Drosophila melanogaster: one gene and its partners. The protein of the gene in region 1 interacts with the protein of each later gene in a pairwise test. Each region holds a gene or a part of one and is shown in the gene's direction. Other genes may lie near its edges. The genes, in order: Arpc3B, Ppcs, CG44837 and CG11327.

Region 1 (3,695 bases):
AACGCAAAAAAAAACAAAACAAAACACGGCGAAAAAGGTAAATAAACGCACGAAACGCCGACGAAGGGACTATTTACAAACTCTCATCGCTTTTGAACGGAATTCAGCAACGCAACAACAGCAACTACTCAAGAGGACAGTGTGACCAGCGCGGTAAGAGTTATAAATATCGCAAGGCATAAAATAATACCATGTACCATATACTAATTTGTTCAGCGAAAATACTACTGCTGTGCCGCTATAGGAATTTAATATACTTTATTTGATCTCAATCTCGATCTCAATCAAACCATACTAATAGTTCTATCGATATTAGTGTTCCTAGTATTTTGTATTTACATACAGCTTACATTCGCCCTACCTGGCTTATGAACGACCTCGATCTTACTATCTATCTACAATGCTATGGTAAGGTTTACACCGTTTTTCCAATATTTCAATCTCGCTGGTTCCAATAAACTCTTAAAAGGTAACTGCGTTAGTTGATAATCATCTACATCAATTTAATTTTTAACGGTCACTTTCAAACACTCTACTTTCCTTGTATATTTATTTGTACATGGGCCGCGATATTTAGGTTCGAATTTTTTATTAACTCCAGGTGTTGTATCAATATTTCGTAGAGCTTCAAAATCTCGAAATTTATATTCCAAAAGGGCTTTATTTTTCTTCGCATTATATTGCTCAATATTATGTTGTGAGTGATGGATATTAACATTAGCATTTAAACTAACAGTATCTAGGTCTGTTTGCTCTAAATTAAACGTGTGCTCAATATATTCTGGCAATTCGTCAACTATATGGCCTTTTTGGCTAACACCAAATAATTGAATACTATGTGATTCTTTAATACTACTATGAATAGTAATGTTAATGGCAAACTCTAATTTATTTAAGAAGTTACGGCGTTGCGCAGTTGAACTATAGTCGCGTCTTCACCAAAATAAACTTTTTTTGATTTTAATATGTCAATTATATCGGGTTTTGATTTTTTAAGAATAGCACTATATTCCAATGTATTACTGCTTTATTATTGTTGTCTTGGTCTGTAACAATCTTTTTAAGTATTTTTATTCACGATGTTTCTCTTTAAAACAATTGATTTAAGCTCTTCGATCTCGATCACACCATCGTTTGTTCTTCAGACTATACAATTAGTTCTATCGATATTATGTTATCGATCGATTATATTTTACCTAGTATTTTATATTTATACACAATTTACAAACTTCTTATCTATAAACAATCAACTGTGTCGACCATCGAATAATGTTTTTAATAGACGTAATTTGTATTTTCAAAGTGAACTGGAACATGTGAAATAGTTTGAGTGTTAACCCAAATGTGTCTGGGCACACTGCTTTCGCCTTTGTAACTTACCGCCAAAGTTGAAGCTTTTCATTGTCGCGCGAAAAGTTGGAAACGTTCAATTAATTATTTTTTAATAAAAAAGCTATATTATATTATATTATATATATTGTATATTAATATATATATTATATATATTCGATTGGGGACCTTATTACAGTTGTTATGTTCATTTCTTTCCTATTTTTTATCTATATCTTTCCCATTTTTAATTAGCAAGCGCAACAAGTTCTAACCGAAAGAGCCAAGTCCTGTTAACTCCATTTCTGCATTGATATCAATTTCATATGCAACAGAACTAAAATAAAACGACGAAAACTGAGACGTACTTGCACATTTATGTGGGAAAATGTCAGCTTAAATGATTAAAATAATATCTTTAGAAATGTATATTTTCAAAAAATACCAAATAAACTCGGAACGAACCAGTTCATTTTAACGCCAATGGGTCGTTTATTCAACTTCAAAAAGATAACGTTTTCACATCACTAGGAAGTTCTGATATATCATATATTACTATATTTTTCGTTTATTTTTAACTTTTGAAAAACAAGACAGAAGTCATTGAAATGCCGGTGAGTAAAATACAACCGAGGTATGCAGCTGCAGATGGGCAGTTTCTTAACATAAATGTACATTAAACGCATTAAACCCTTAACCTGTCCATTTGTTTACATGGTTCGCACAGGCATTTCACTCGGAAATAGAGGATTTCCAAGCCTCGGTGGGGAATATGGCCCTTCTACCACTACGTACCCAAGTCCGAGGACCAGCGCCCACTGTTGATATTCCCAACGACATCATCGATGAGTCACTCTACTTCTGGAAATCGAACATTTTCTTCCGCACTTACGAAGTTAAGGTTGGTGACTGGACAAAGAAATGAGCATAGAGATAAAGCGAGGCGATATTCTAATTTTTAAAATGAAGATACATTAAGAAGACGGCACAGCTTGTTAAATATTTCGAAACAATCTTAAAGCCCTAGTGGAGTCAATTTTATAATGTTAAAACCAAGTGCGTTATCTCACCGCCCTTATTTGTAGAAATATGTCGTTACAATCAGCCTGATAAGAGTGAAGTTATTTGTTAAATTTTTAGTAATACCCCTTTCTTATATGGTGTTCCAAGAGTTGGGTATTTCTACATAATGAAATTATTTTTTTGGAGCTTGGAATTTTTTTTTAAAAGTTCAATAATAGCTTATAGCTTATATAGCTTATATTACTATATAGCTTATAGCAATAATAGTCTTATCAATTATGATATCATTCTTAGAATATTGTTGCTATGTTTAAACTTTTAAAATTACTTTTTAAAAAACCCCTATTACCCATACATTGTATATCTAATCGCAGTCGGAGGTGGACAGGGTGCTCATCTACATAACGCTCTACATCACGGAATGTTTGAAGCGATTGGCCCGATGCACAAGCAAATCGCAGGGTCAGCAGGAGCTCTATACGCTGGCCATCTCGCGGTTCGATATACCCGGAGATGCGGGATTTCCGCTGAACGGAATATACACCAAGCCCGAGGATCCGGAGCTGATGCGTCAGTACTTCCTGCAGTTGCGCCAGGAAACCGGAAACAGATTGCTGGAAAAGGTCTTTGATACTCCGGATGGAAAGCCGAGCAAGTGGTGGATATGCTTTGCCAAGAAGAAGTTCATGGAGAAGAGTCTTTCGGGACCGGGAATGTAAAAGACTCACTAATATACTGCCGATCTTAGAGTATTTACCACCAAAATTTACGAATAAACTGCTTTGAATGTATTAAATTCGTTGTTGATTTATGTTTATTGATTTATACGCTCTCAAAAGCGCATATTTTTCACTTTGTAAAAGAACTTAGTGTTAAACATTGTTGGCTGAAGGCTAGTTAATACTTTATACATATATATTTATAAAATCGATGAATAGCATTTATTACATACATATGGCTTTAACGATCATTTGCAGGCTCTCACACAATCAAAGCCCTATTGCTATGGTAATCAATTATTAAAATGGGTTATAGCTGCAGATCATGTTTTTCCTTTATGCCTCCTTTCGTTTTTGTGCCAAATAAACATTTTTTTTATACATACAAACAAAAAAAAAATATGCACAGCTTAAAACTATCAACAAAATAATAATAAAAAAAAGAGTGGAAAAATACACAAATTAATCTTACATCAGAACAGGACAACGCATTCACATAGTTCCGCGGAATGACAGCATTATTTATGTACAAAATATACTTGCTAGCTCTCTAAGCCTACTTAAACTCCTTGACGATCTCCACGATGCTCTGGTAGGTGCCAGTGACGATGCCCAGCACGGCCA
Region 2 (4,729 bases), on another chromosome or scaffold:
TCGGAGGAGCAGCAGCGGCGGTCATATCCCCACCGCGACGAGGACCAACTGAACTCGGCCACCAATTTGGTTTTGGCACAGAACTACAAGTACGATGTGGAGATCCTGGAATCCGGCGATGCCGACCAAGACGACAGTAGCATGGATGACGTGGACGATCTGGAGGAGCGTTTCAAGGGACGCGGTGTGATCTTCAGCACGGACACCGAAACCTTCGCCAACGAGAACATCGAGATGAGCCCGCTGAACGTGCAGGCGGATGCGGTTAGCCAGGGACACGTGCTGCTCGGCATCGTGGTGGTGGCACTGGCCTTGGTCTCCATCGGCCTGTACGCCGGCCTGGTCATATGGCGCTCGCACCTGGAGTGAGTTCTATTGGCTAATTGCTCTAATTTTCAGAGTGCTAACTCATTTACCATCTCTTTTCACCATCATCAGGCAGCGGTATGGAATGCGCGAACGACTGGTCAATCACGACTTGGAGGATGAAGCGGCTGGTGTCGACGACGTCGATTATCAGGTCTATGCGCCAACCACGACGGCAGCTACGCCTAGGGCGTAGTCCGTTTCGAAATCTGGTCCGATTCGATTCGATCCGATACGACGGTGGGCTTCAATTGGACCTGGTTTCGGTTTAAAGTGCACACTCACCACACAATTCAGACGAGACGACGACGATGGCAATTCATTGCAGCCTCAGCTAGGATGGTGGTGGAGAGACGGTGCTCAATCGTCTAATGTATGCCATAAATTTCCACGACAAGCTGAAAAGCATTCCGCTTCCCAATTACACTCTAATGGCGTTGCTAAAGGTCACGCCGATTTCTAACAGCGCAGTTGACAAGACCAATTAGTTAGTAAGTTTCTGTGATATTGTTCTAGAGATTCTTTTGTACGTCCTTGCACTAACAATACGCATAGAACCCACGTTGCTAATCGATAATAAAAACTATATGTAAATGTAAATGAATATTTAACTTAGGCGTCTTTATTTTGTTGATGGTAAATTCCTGCAAGTTACCTCTTTCACAGCTGCTTAAGACTCTGTGGTTTTCAAAATACTGGAATTATTTAATGGATTATAAATGAATAAGCAATTTAAAAATAACCAAAACATGTTATCTGACTTGATTCATTTTGAGTTTTATTGGATATAAATCTTCACAAGCCTTGTTTACACTTAACACACTCAGGTAAGCCATTAAATTAAAAATAGCCACACAAAGAACGAGTTACACACCCAATAAAATGCAGTAGTATAAGGTATTTTTGGAGTTAACAATTACATTGCTTTTATTTGTTATGCATTTATTCTTTCTTAACCCTAAAATAAAAAAGGTTTCCCTTTAAAAATTGAAATAATTTGTTTTCGTACAGGTATTTATAGCTCAAATTTGAATTTGAATTAGGCGCGTTTTCTTAATTAACAACACTGAAATAATATCTAAAGCGCAGCCAACTTTGCTCAGATAGCTCATGGGTACCACAAGACTAAGAACTAGTTCACAAATATGAATATTCAACAAAAACACCTTCTGGCTGACAGATAACTAGGCAGAAGTGGTGGTCTTTCTTACTTATTAGCTAAATGAAACCTTTGTATAGCTTCCTTAGAACGATACATGAAAAACTTAATCTTGACAAGCAACAAGTTTGCTGCATGCGCCGGAACCAGTCAGCAATGCCTCCAATTCGTCCCTGTCCAACACTGCAATCAGCTGTTACCTGGCCAACGCGTTTTTTTTTTTTGGCCTGCACTTTGAACCCCGAGGTTTCGTGCGAATAAAGATACGGATTTGAGTGCGCCTGTCCACATTCCCGCTCGTCCCGCTCCGCCATCCATCGCTGCCTATCGCATTTTCGGTTCAGAATCCCGCGGACCTTGCTGCCGTGCACATCGCATCGCATTTCCACAGCTGCGTTTTTCAGCATTTTCGTTCGCTCTCTCTCTCTCCGGTTTTTCAGAGCGCTCCGTTCCGCTCTCCCGCTCGCGCGCGCTCCCCTTAACGGTTCCATTGATAAGCAGCGCCACCCGCAGCCCCTGCCCCGCCCCCCTGCCACGCATATTCCGCCCTTCGCATTTCGGAAACTGCAAAAAAAAACCAAACCAAAGCAAAGCAAAAGCAAATCAATCAATTAAGATAGTACGCCGAATAGTGCAGTGCGTGTGTTAATTAATTTTGGTTGCCATTTCGCACATTCTGTATTTATTAATTGGCAGTGCATAGCTTCCGGCGGAAGAGGGCAACTTTCCGTTCATTTTCGAGCTTCCGTTTGTCGGCCAATTAGCAGCAGGTCGACAAAGAAAAAGCAAAAACAAGCGTAAAGGATAAGCCAACATGACGCACTGGGAGGACTTCTACAACACGCACCTGCCGCCCGCGGACTTCGAGGACAATCGCTCCCTGCTCAAGGAGTTCTGCGAACGGCACAACAAGCTCCAGAATCGCATCGTCCTCGTCACGGTGAGCTGGGATGATCCAAATCCGAATTAGGATTAGGATTAGCGCTAAATAACCACTGTACTCCGTTAATTAACTGCCCAAGCTGGTGAAAGCTTTCATGGTTGAGCCGAGCGCCTGGGGCATTAAAAACAAATGTGTAAAGTGTGGAAGTGAATAAATTTAAATTGGCTAGAACAAAGTTCGTAAATGTTAAACACATGCAGGGGCGCATGCATAAACAATTAGCATTTTGTGAATGGAGAAAACAAAAGTTGTTAAGTGTTTTTTTAACATACTTTAAAAAACCAAAATCACCTTTTTTTTGTTAGTTTTTAATTTAACATTTTAGAAATTTAATCTTAGTTAAGTTTCACTTTAAGTTAAGTTTTCCACTTTAAAATGCTGCTATGCGTAAATAATATATATTGCAAATATCTGCAAGTCTTGCAAATACTTGATTCGCCTCCTAAAGCTCAAAGTTAAATATGAAATTATGTGGGTCAACTGGTGTTTATTCACTGGGGCCAGCTTAATCCGAACATGATTTACGCAAATAGTTAACAACGAGGCACATTAGTTTCTCTCTATAAGATTTATGGTCAACTTGCTGATTTATCTGCCTGATTTGAATAACTAAATGCTGCCAAATATCTTGGATTTGTTCTAAGTCATTGGATTTTACATGAAAGGGACTTGGTTATTCTAATTTGTTTTATAAGAAATTATTGTAATGATTTGCACAAAACTGTTATTGTGCCTATAAGAAAGGATGTTAAAGGGGAGAAAATACATAAGAAGATACAAAACAAGAGAAAACTAGTCGAGTTACTCGGCTGTCAGACACCCAGTACTAAGAAGAACATCAAAAATTTATATTTGATATTAGTAAAAATGGTTAGAATCTGCATATCTAAACTTAATTTTGCAGATCTGGTAGTTACCAGGATCACAGCGTTCATACGGACAGAAATACGGACAAATGGACGGACATAGATTTCAGCGATTCTAGTATGCCCTTTCAACTCTACGAGTAAAGGGTATAACCACCACGAGCATTTAACCCCAGTTTTTGAACATGAAAATTTAATAGAGAATAGAATTTAAAAGTTGCTTTAATTGCAACATAACGATTAGGAAACAGAATAATCAATATTAAATAGGAGCAAAGAAAAAATACCAAAATGAACCAAAATATTTTCTAAAAGAACCCTAATTTGTTCAACATTTCCAGTCCGGTGGCACCACAGTTCCCCTGGAGCACAATACGGTGCGGTTTGTGGACAATTTTAGTGCTGGAACGCGTGGCTCCGCCTCGGCGGAATACTTCCTCGACCACGACTATGCCGTGATTTTCATGCATCGCCACAAGTCGCTGGAGCCCTTCACGCGCCACTTCACCGGCCAGCAGTTCTTCGACATGCTGGACATTGCGGACAACAGCCAGAGTTCGACGATAGCCATCAAACCGGATTCGGTGGACGTGTTTGCTCCGGTGCTGGCCAAATACAAGATAGCCCGCGAAACGCAGATGATCCTGTACGTGAACTTCACCAGCGTGGTGGACTACATGTGGCTGCTCCGCGCCGCCTGCGAGTGCCTGGCCGCCTTCGAGGAGCGAGCCGTGCTCTACCTAGCCGCAGCCGTATCCGATTTCTACATACCCGAGGACATGATGGTAAGATGAGACTACGGACGATGCCGGATGAGGCGGGTGGGCGGTCATGTGGGAAATCTCGTAATTGATTGCGCTCCTCACTGCGACGAGTGCGGAATGAGTGAGTGGAAATTGGTTTTTATCGATTCCCAAAGCTGCACTGCGGCAAATTAAGGATGTAGTACTTAAAAGTAAGGCCATGGCATAGTGATTGTGAATTCGTATCGATTTTCAAAGCAGCAACTACTAGTTGACATTGCAAAAGCGTCAATCATTTTGATCCTGATTTTGCTGATGCATGGAATGTATGTATGTATAATGCACTTTAAAGCACCATTTCCTGGCAGTGTGTTTCTAGTTGTTTTCGCTACCCTTGTGCCTGGTGCTCCTTCCGATTCCCGGTCGCTGTGCAAGTCCCCGGTCTGTGACACATTTCCTCTCCACATTATTGACGTTCGACTGGGCTAAGTCAACTATGGCTGCTGCTGCTGCTCCTCCAGTTCCTCTCTAGCTTCCTCCAATTCCATCCACTGGCCAGCAGGAGCCTTATCACAGGCTGTCAGTGTCACTCACGCTGGCCTTGTGGCCTTGTCCGCCAGCAGCCTTAACATTGTCATCGTATAATTTGATT
Region 3 (4,895 bases), on another chromosome or scaffold:
GGCGCAGATGTTCCCGACCTTCCAGCCAAAGTTCGTTATTTGGTCAAGGAAAGAGGTCCTGTTCGAATTCGACTCACTGGCTACAGTGTCCCCATAAAAAAAATTAAACGCAGACCTCAAACAGAATGGCTTGTTGCAACTTTCACTTGTTTTCGATCTTGACTTCTGACATCCTCTGTGGCAGGGATTTGCCGTCGAGGACATGGGCGTGGCTGGCCAACATGTTCACGAAAAATTATGGCTTGACTCCGACATTGTTGAGCCCTTCACGGGCCAACTTTTGGTTCTCTTTCCAAGTTATTAAGCTTTAAATAAAGAAGAATCCTTTTTAAATTGTTTAGACAGCAAAATTCCCACGGGAATTTGCAGTAAGCCAATGTTTCAAAATAATTATTTGTTGGCTTTACAAGACAATAGGAAACCACATTTTTCTGTTTTTTTCTTAATATTTAAATATTTTTAATTACCACAACGCCTTCACATTTACGTGAAAGGTTTAAATAAAACCAATTTAAACGTCTATTTAGTAGATATTTCCTGTAATTATTAACAAATAATTGTTGTGCCATAGAAAAAATTTAATTTATTATAAGAGAACGGCAATTAATATAATTATATAATAATTAATTATTCCTTTGCCTGCATACTAAGATTAAAATAAGTCACTTAATGGAGCAATGGATATATATCCACAAAGTTACATATATATTTTTGTTTTTACGAACGTCCCATCGATCCGCTTTTTGTTAATCATGTGAGTCCTCGTATCTGAAATATGATTTGCATATGGATGCCGGATGTGCTAATGCAAATTTTTGACCCAGCTTGAATTTCATTAACACGATTCGGGGGATTCAGCGGTGCACATACTTACTTCCCCTCCGTGTTCCGACACTCAGCCCATCCGATGCTTGATGGCCATACATCAGGATGAAGGATGAGCACTTCAGAGTATGTGTGTGCCATGAGCAAGTACTTACATATGTACCCAGGTACAGGTGTGCAGAAATGTGGCCGTGCATTGTAATGTTAAGTTACAAGAAATGGTCACACTACAAAAAAAATTTTAATGCGTGGGCCGTTTCATCTGTACAACTAAAATATATCATGTTTTCTAGCTATTCGCACATTGATTTTTTAAATAATTTATATTGAATTTAAAAACATAATATTAGATATCACACTATATTTTTCTGAGTGCTGGCTTGGGGGTCGGTGAACATTTTGAGATGAGGTTAACAAAAATGGCTATGTGTCGTCGTCCTGCTGACTGCGAAATTGCTTTGGATGCCAAATGAATGCACTTGCATATTTCATTGCCGCCCCGTCACCTGCGGTATCACCTTTGGGCCAACTCTTTGCCCCAAGTTGGGATAACACCATCATAAAACAATAGACTTTGGCTTTGTGGCCAGGAGCAAGCGTAACTTTGATTACCAAGAAGAATGTATGCTATTGAGTTCAATAAGAAAAGCCCTGTTTGGTAAAAATGTTTTAAGGTCTGTTAAGGCATAGCATTAAAACAAAAAAACGCTACTTTGGAGGTTAAATTCTTTTTATTGTTACATGATTCCAATGGATATTTGTTTTATATTTTATAGTTACTTTTTTTCAAATAAGTATTACAATAAAATATCTTTGCATTAACATGGACTTTACATTACATACTGTTAACATGGCGACCCACTGCCATACTTTTTTGTTGGGCCAGGTCACTTACGATCCACAGCATCCATCCACTGGGGGGTACTCCTTGCGGAAACTGTTGCTGCTGCTGTTAGCAGTGCCGTTATAAAGTAACGGTACCGCAGCACTGAAGAGCCCAGTGTGTTGGCAGCGCCGCGTGGCAACGGTAATTGAATTGAACCGGGTAGCGTTAGCGGTTTTATCCAACGGAAAATGTGACGGAATATTGGCGGGATTGACGTGTTATAATTTATTTGTTTTAGTTTACGCCGTGATATTGGAAAAGCATAACAAACATAACATTGTTAGTGAAAGAGTAAAAATAGGTAGCGTTTGGAATCCGATTATTATATCTACTATCTTATCATTTACTTTCACTTACATAATAGAAACGTTATTTTTTGTATATTATATTTATTACTTAGCTTACATTATTTTACTTGCTTTCAATATATTATATGTACATATAAGTTGTACCTCCTTTATAATGTTATATCCTTGAATACTTGAATACTTAGGCCACCAAAAATGTGTTTATTTTCATAAATATGCAAATTAAAAGTAAATAGACCAGAATAAGTGCTAATACTGAAACATAAATAAAGATGATTTGCGTGTCATTACTCAAATATCAACTAAAATTCGTGAAAAAGAATTAACAATCCATGAGTGACTAAAGGGAACCATGTCTTCTGGCGAGTGGGACCTGCGTGCTTTGAAGGCGCTGGAGGAGGAGGAGCAGCGCGAGTTCCTGGCCCTCAGCCAGAGAAACCTCTTCGATCCGCTGCCGAATCCCTCACCGGATGTGCCCAGTGCGAAGCCTTCACTAACTTATGCCCAGCTGCATCCTCACCTGCTAAAGCTGCCGACGATCGACGAGTGCCAGCTGATGGCCGTCAAGCAGCAGAGATCAGCGGCTCTGCGATTCAGTCGCGCCCTCTCCTTGTCCGCCCACTCACTCACCTCGCGAACCGGAAGCGCAACGGCAGGCGGAAGTGGCCTGGGCTTTGGCCGTAAACTGAAAGCCCGCTTAGTGGGCGCGAAGTCGAGTGGCTCACTTTCGCCCGGTCGGCACTCGCACAGCTACAGTGTTTCCCCGGTATATACGCCGCCGCCCATGAGAAGATGTGCCACCTTGCATCACACGCAACCGGTGCGAAAAGTCTTTAAAAATCTCCAACAGCTGCAGGAGCGAAAACGTCAGGCGGCTGGAAGTCATCTGCAGAGGATCGCTGGCACTGGAAAAACGTACTGGAAGTACGGAGCCAATTCCACGGCCGCCTCGATAGTGGGCCAACGTGCACGCCAAAACCAACAGATCGAAGTCGAGGAGCCCAACGGTTCGGATGAGCTGAACTCGGAAACACAGGAAATCTCCGAGGCGGAAACGGGCTCCTGCAGTGTGCCGCTGCCGTCGAAGGACACCAATGAAATACTCCGCCTCATGCTCAGTGCGGCCAGCTCGGCGGTAACTGTGACGCCAACGGCGGCGGCCATTGGTAACGGTAACGTGGCCGGAGCAACTGGTGGCGCCCCGCCAATGCGTCGCTACCAGAATGCCAGCGATGTTGAGGAGGACGAAACTGTTGCGTACGGAGCTTTCCACCAGGCGGCCAAAAGCTTCGAGCGCGGCGCTCTCCTGCGAGTCGGCAGCTTAACAGCCCAAGAGAGCGATAACAGCAAAGTTAATGCCATTAGCCCCAGTCCACAGAACAGTCCCGCCAGGGAAACACAATCCACAGCGGTGGGCGGAACGGGTGGCAGACGTGTGTTCAAGTCCTGCTCATTCGATTGGCCCGGGGAAGCGCAACAGCATCTATCCCCGCAGCCACATCAAGCTGCAAATCCTGTAGAGCTGTTGGAGCAGCAGGGAAAGGACATTCGCTTTCGCCAGAGGGATCACTGGGATCTCGAGCATGCCCACTTCCATCACGAGGCACTTGGACACCTAACAACCAGCACCACCGTCATCGATGACGAGCTGGAGCAGCATATCAAGCACTGTTCCTGCTCCTGCAACCACATGGGCTATGGCAACTCAATGGACTATCAGGTGAGTGAAAACTACGTTCAAAAGAGATTAATACAAATAAAAACTGAAAACAATTTCGGTTGAATAAGAAACATATGATTAACAAATTGTAACTTTCGAAGCTTATATTGTCTATTAATGTCGGTCTATTGTTATACCATCAGTATAGGAAGGCAAATGGCTTTAGTTATTGAAATTTTAGATATTTTGCAATTAAGTGGAATGCTAATTGTTTCCTGTTTGCCCATTTAATCCAAAACCGCGTCAAATTCCCGCCGTGCACAGCCCTTTTACAAGTGATGGCGCCGTGTAATTTTAATTGCAGCAACTATATCTGCAGTGCGGGTGTCCGGCAATTCAGGTGAATGGCGGCACATTCAGAGGGCCTCCACTTTCTATCCAGCTTTTAATGCACTCTGGCGGAGATTCCAATACACAGGCATTTCCCAAACTCATTATCAGCGAGGCCTTTTGTGGACATTCCGGGTTCACGGCTGGATTGGTCCTGGCAGATTGCCGCCTGGAGATCGCCCTGGGGCACTGACTCTGCCATTGCCAAGTGCTCCATTGTCTGGCTGCGAGTGGCCCGCATGGGATGGGTTCAACTTTTAAACTAAATTGAATACCCCTTTGAATCCGACAATGAGCTGGATGCCTGTTCTTGCCGGGATTAAGCTCACAGTTGGGTTTCTCGCACCCTCACATCGTTATTGTCTGTAATTGTTAAGACGATTTTAGGTTTAATAGCTGCCATTTCAAATAGAGTTGGAGTCTGTTGGCTGACCCCTCGAAAACTCAAGACTTTATCTTTTGTTTTACCACAAGGATGCAATTGCACACTCTATGTGGCCCTAAGGGGTGTGAGACTTTTATTGTGCAATACTCAGGAACAAACGGCCTGGGAAACTTAAAGCATGACAGGAGTCTTCAACTAGGAAATATTTTCTCGGTTAATAATGCACTCTAAAGAACTTTTAAATACCATTGTATGTAGATGATGATGTAGATGATACCATTGTATGATGAAATGATTGCCTGATAGTTAGGACCTGAAAAAATGAATTCTAGCCATTTGCATAGTTTGATTACGACTTTATAGGAGATTGTTTACAGCGTACAGATAGTTCTACAATAGGTGCGATTGCGATTGGGTGTGCTTTACTAATAGCGTTACTAA
Region 4 (3,992 bases), on another chromosome or scaffold:
CGGATGGAGACAAGGTGGGCGATGTGTGCGACAACTGCGTGCTTAAGTACAATCCCAGGCAGTTGGACACGGACGAGGATGGACTGGGAGACGAGTGCGATGGTGATATCGACAACGACTCCATACCAAATGCGCTAGACAACTGTCCGCTGCTGCCGAATCCCAGTCAGTCGGACGTGGACAACGATGGTGTGGGCGACGCTTGCGATAACTGTCCGAATCTTCCGAATCCCGACCAAAAGGATCGCGACATGGACTTTGTAGGCGATGCCTGTCACAGAGACATCGACGGGGATGATGATGGAGTTCCAAACTCGCTGGACAACTGCCCAATGGTCAGTAACTCGGACCAGCTGGACACTGACGGTGATGGAACGGGCGATGAGTGCGATGACGACATGGACGGAGATGGGATACCCAACTACAAGGACAACTGTCCGCTGGCCAAGAACCCAAAGCAGGACGACTTCAATCGGAATGGCAAGGGTGACTCTTGCGAAGATGATGAGGACGTAGATGGTGTACCGAATGGCATGGACAACTGCCCGAACAACTCGATGATTCATCACACTGACTTTCGCACTCTTCAAACCATTCCACTGGATCCCAAAGGCCTATCGCAAGCGGATCCCAACTGGGTGGTACACGCCAATGGCACCGAGATAGTCCAGACCCTCAATTCGGATCCGGGACTAGCGGTGGGCAAGGACGCCTTCGGAGGCGTTGACTTCGACGGCACCTTTTATATCAACGATGACACGGACGATGACTACGCTGGCTTTGTGTTCAGCTACCAGAGCAGCTACAAGTACTACGTGGTGCAGTGGAAGAAGGGCACCCAAACCTACTGGGAGCCACGACCCTTCACCGCCTCTGCGGCGCCGGGCATCCAGATCAAGCTGGTCAACAGCACCGAGGGTCCGGGCCCAATGATGAGGAACAGCCTGTGGCACGAGGGAAACACCGACGGTGAGGCCAGGCTGCTGTGGAAGGATCCGAAGAACATTGCGTGGAAGGAAAGGACCTCCTACCGCTGGTCCCTGGTGCATCGACCGGCCATCGGCCTCATCCGCCTGCAGTGAGTGATGGCACCATGACAGGGTTCCCATGTCTTCATTCTCCTTCTACCCACAGAATGCACGAGGGTAACCGCCTGATCTTCGACTCGGGCAATGTGTTTGACTCCACGCTGAAGGGCGGTCGGCTGGGCGTGTTCTGCTTCTCACAGAGGATGATTATATGGTCCAACCTGCAGTACAAGTGCAATAGTAAGGGAAATCGAAACAAAGTGGTAACTTCAACTGAACTAAACTTTTTTCTATGCTTTTCAAAACAGATCGTGTGAAGCCGCTGATCTACAATGATCTGTCCGACTATCTCAAGACGAAGGTGGAGTTGCAGGACTGAGGGGAATCGCAATCCTCAGAGCCATTAACGTCTTTTCTGCCATCAATTCTAACCAAATTATGTATTAATGCTACCACTAAGTTAATAAATGAGTTGCCAATCCAGTTGGCCATTGGAGCCGCGTTTTCCAACACAAAAATGAACTGAATCAAGTTGGCCTGGCTGCACGTGAAATCAGGAGACATTGCCTGTCAATCCATTTAGTTCAATTGCCACAGTTAGGCGAACACACTTTCGCTAGGGAACGTTTTGATCACCGAAATAAGGGAAAACCCATGTTGAAAACATTGATATAATATTTCACGGATGTCGAACTAGTTAACCAGGTTAAATTCAGTCAGTCTTGCGTAAATTTATAAAGGGTAAGTTGGAGCACAGTGCTCTACCAAATTGTGCTGACCTCATTCATTTATGCGTCCAAATAGCCACGATGGCCAGCCGCAATGTGCAAGCAACTCCATCCCAGGAAGAGCTGAAGCGGACTGAGAACAACAAGAATGTGAAAAACTCCGAAGAATGTCAATCAATGGAAAACGATGTGGACGCGGTTGTCCCATCTTCGTCGGAGAGTGAGCTGCGGCCTCGCAGTTCGGGAGTTAGGCCCACTAAAATTCCGGCTCCACTTTTCTTGGGACCCAGTGCCAGCAGCCGGATCTACAGTTCACTGATGCCCGAGAGAAAGCGACGCTCCTCCATGGAAAGTCAACAGATGGCCGACGATTCTGGCATCAATTTGGATTGCTCCACGGACGAGCAGCAGACTACGCTGTCGGCCAGACCGAGTCCAATGCTGCAGCCGATGCTCGACAGGATTCCGGACACTAGCAGCGAGTTGGAGCTCCGACTGGCAGAGGAGCAGACTCTCAAGGAACTTCAACGCGTCGTCGCCGAAATGGAGGCTGATGTGGCTTTTAATAATTTAGATATGCAAAATCTACTGCCCGATGATATTGACCAGGATACACAGGTGCAATATGACGCCACTGATGTGGATACACAGTTGCAAAATGAAGCCTCTGATGTGGAGAATGGTGCCGAGTCTTCCGGACTAGATATGGAACAGCTGACAGGAAACGATATTCAGCAGGAAACACTTCCTGAAACACAACCCGAAGAACTTATACCAGGAAATGTACAGATGGTGGAAAAAGAAATTGCACCGAAAGGGGAATTTCCAGAAATAAAGGAAACTGCCGTGGAAATAGAATCTTTAAAGGAATTCGAAATTGTCCAGCATTTGGGCGAAGAGCCAATAGATGAACACACAGAGATCGTCCAAGAGACCCCGCAAGATCCTACAGACGTAGAATCCGAGAAATCTGTACCCGAATCGGATATGGAGGAACTCGAAACGTTAATTAATGAAAGTAGCGAGTCCGAAGAGGACAGGCTTGTTCGTGAACAATTCGAGAAATACCCTGAAACATTGGAGCCCATGTTTCATCCAACGGCGGATGAGATTGTGTGCATTGACTCGGTCCCGGAACTGGCCGACCATCCCTCACTAGATGGGTCGGTGCAAAACGGTCGCGAGATGGTTACTTTGGATGAACTATTTGATCCGGAGTACAATGTGCACCTAATGCGCCAACTTTTGCAGGCCAGAATAGAAGAGAATAGCGAAGTTGAAACAGCTCCAGACTTGATAGAAAGTGAGCAAGCGGAAGAAAGGGAGACGCTGACGGGCCCGGAGGCGGAAATCGATATGGAGGAGGAAACGGATCCGGACCTAAAACAAACTGGCAAGCCCTTGAGTTTCTTGAGGCGTCTAGTCAACCACAGAATCCTTAAGCTTAGCTATCCCATATTGTTCTGCAGCTTGGCTTTCAGTTTGGTCTATATAATTCGCAAGGAGTAGAAGTTCACTATTCTAGAAATGCAAATTGGATAATGCGAACTTGCGAGAGCATACGTTTCACTACGGTATATCTTAGGAAACACTTCAAAATCGCCCGACGCATTGGCATAGTTGGGTTGCTTTAAATATCTATTTTCCAAATAAATATCCACAATATCACGGCCGCACTGTTTGTAATTTGTATAATTTGTATGTATATTTGAATTAAAGCGCCAATTACTTAACATTCTTTTTGAAACGAGCGCTAGGTGGCGCCTTTGTCAGGTCATACTCTTGTTGGCTAGGGCAGGGTAACGGTTATCGATAACCGGAAACTGCACCTGCCCGTTTACTGTTTTCCCGGAATAATTACCGATGGAGGAACGGCGGAATTCTAAACATGGGGAATTTTTTATTTATTTTTTTTTTTTTGAATGTATAGAGGAATCGTGAAAAATAGCAATGATACGAACTTACAGATCTAACTATGTCGGTGGGACACGGAGAGACTGGTCGGCGGGACTAGTACTAGACGACGGGAAAGAAAATTAATAAATGAAAAGGCTAATTTGACGCAATTCCCGGAATAATAGTTTTTACTTGGAAAATAGTTTGGGATTATTGCAAGTTTTAGTTTTACATAACTATTATATTGAATACAAATATCTTTACTGAACCGCTCCTGTTCAAAGGCAATATTTTTTCGCGTGCTAGCGTGCGGTCACACTGCAGTCGCATACGGTTGTTT

What was found.
Region 2: the proteins of Arpc3B (region 1) and Ppcs interact in a two-hybrid assay, tested with the Drosophila melanogaster proteins (one large-scale study listed by BioGRID).
Region 3: the proteins of Arpc3B (region 1) and CG44837 interact in a two-hybrid assay, tested with the Drosophila melanogaster proteins (one large-scale study listed by BioGRID).
Region 4: the proteins of Arpc3B (region 1) and CG11327 interact in a two-hybrid assay, tested with the Drosophila melanogaster proteins (one large-scale study listed by BioGRID).

Annotation. Positions count from the first base shown.
Region 1 is NC_004354.4:17,104,018-17,107,712, reverse strand, and holds Arpc3B (Actin-related protein 2/3 complex, subunit 3B), read left to right. Parts: upstream 1-1,860; 5' UTR 1,861-1,937; coding exon 1,938-1,943; exon of another isoform or gene 1,944-2,056; coding exon 2,057-2,230; intron 2,231-2,726; coding exon 2,727-3,071; 3' UTR 3,072-3,142; downstream 3,143-3,695. Other genes in the region: CG4991 (uncharacterized protein), read right to left, coding at 3,628-3,695.
Region 2 is NT_033777.3:19,144,871-19,149,599, reverse strand, and holds the start of Ppcs (phosphopantothenoylcysteine synthetase), read left to right. Parts: upstream 1-1,689; 5' UTR 1,690-2,339; coding exon 2,340-2,465; intron 2,466-3,675; coding exon 3,676-4,119; intron 4,120-4,729. Other genes in the region: CG5835 (uncharacterized protein), read left to right, coding at 1-365, 439-562.
Region 3 is NT_037436.4:11,935,817-11,940,711, reverse strand, and holds the start of CG44837 (uncharacterized protein), read left to right. Parts: upstream 1-1,839; 5' UTR 1,840-2,012; intron 2,013-2,204; 5' UTR 2,205-2,371; coding exon 2,372-3,739; intron 3,740-4,792; exon of another isoform or gene 4,793-4,895.
Region 4 is NT_033779.5:6,684,340-6,688,331, reverse strand, and holds CG11327 (uncharacterized protein), read left to right. Parts: upstream 1-1,619; 5' UTR 1,620-1,769; intron 1,770-1,832; 5' UTR 1,833-1,837; coding exon 1,838-3,265; 3' UTR 3,266-3,490; downstream 3,491-3,992. Other genes in the region: Tsp (thrombospondin), read left to right, coding at 1-1,078, 1,135-1,268, 1,337-1,407.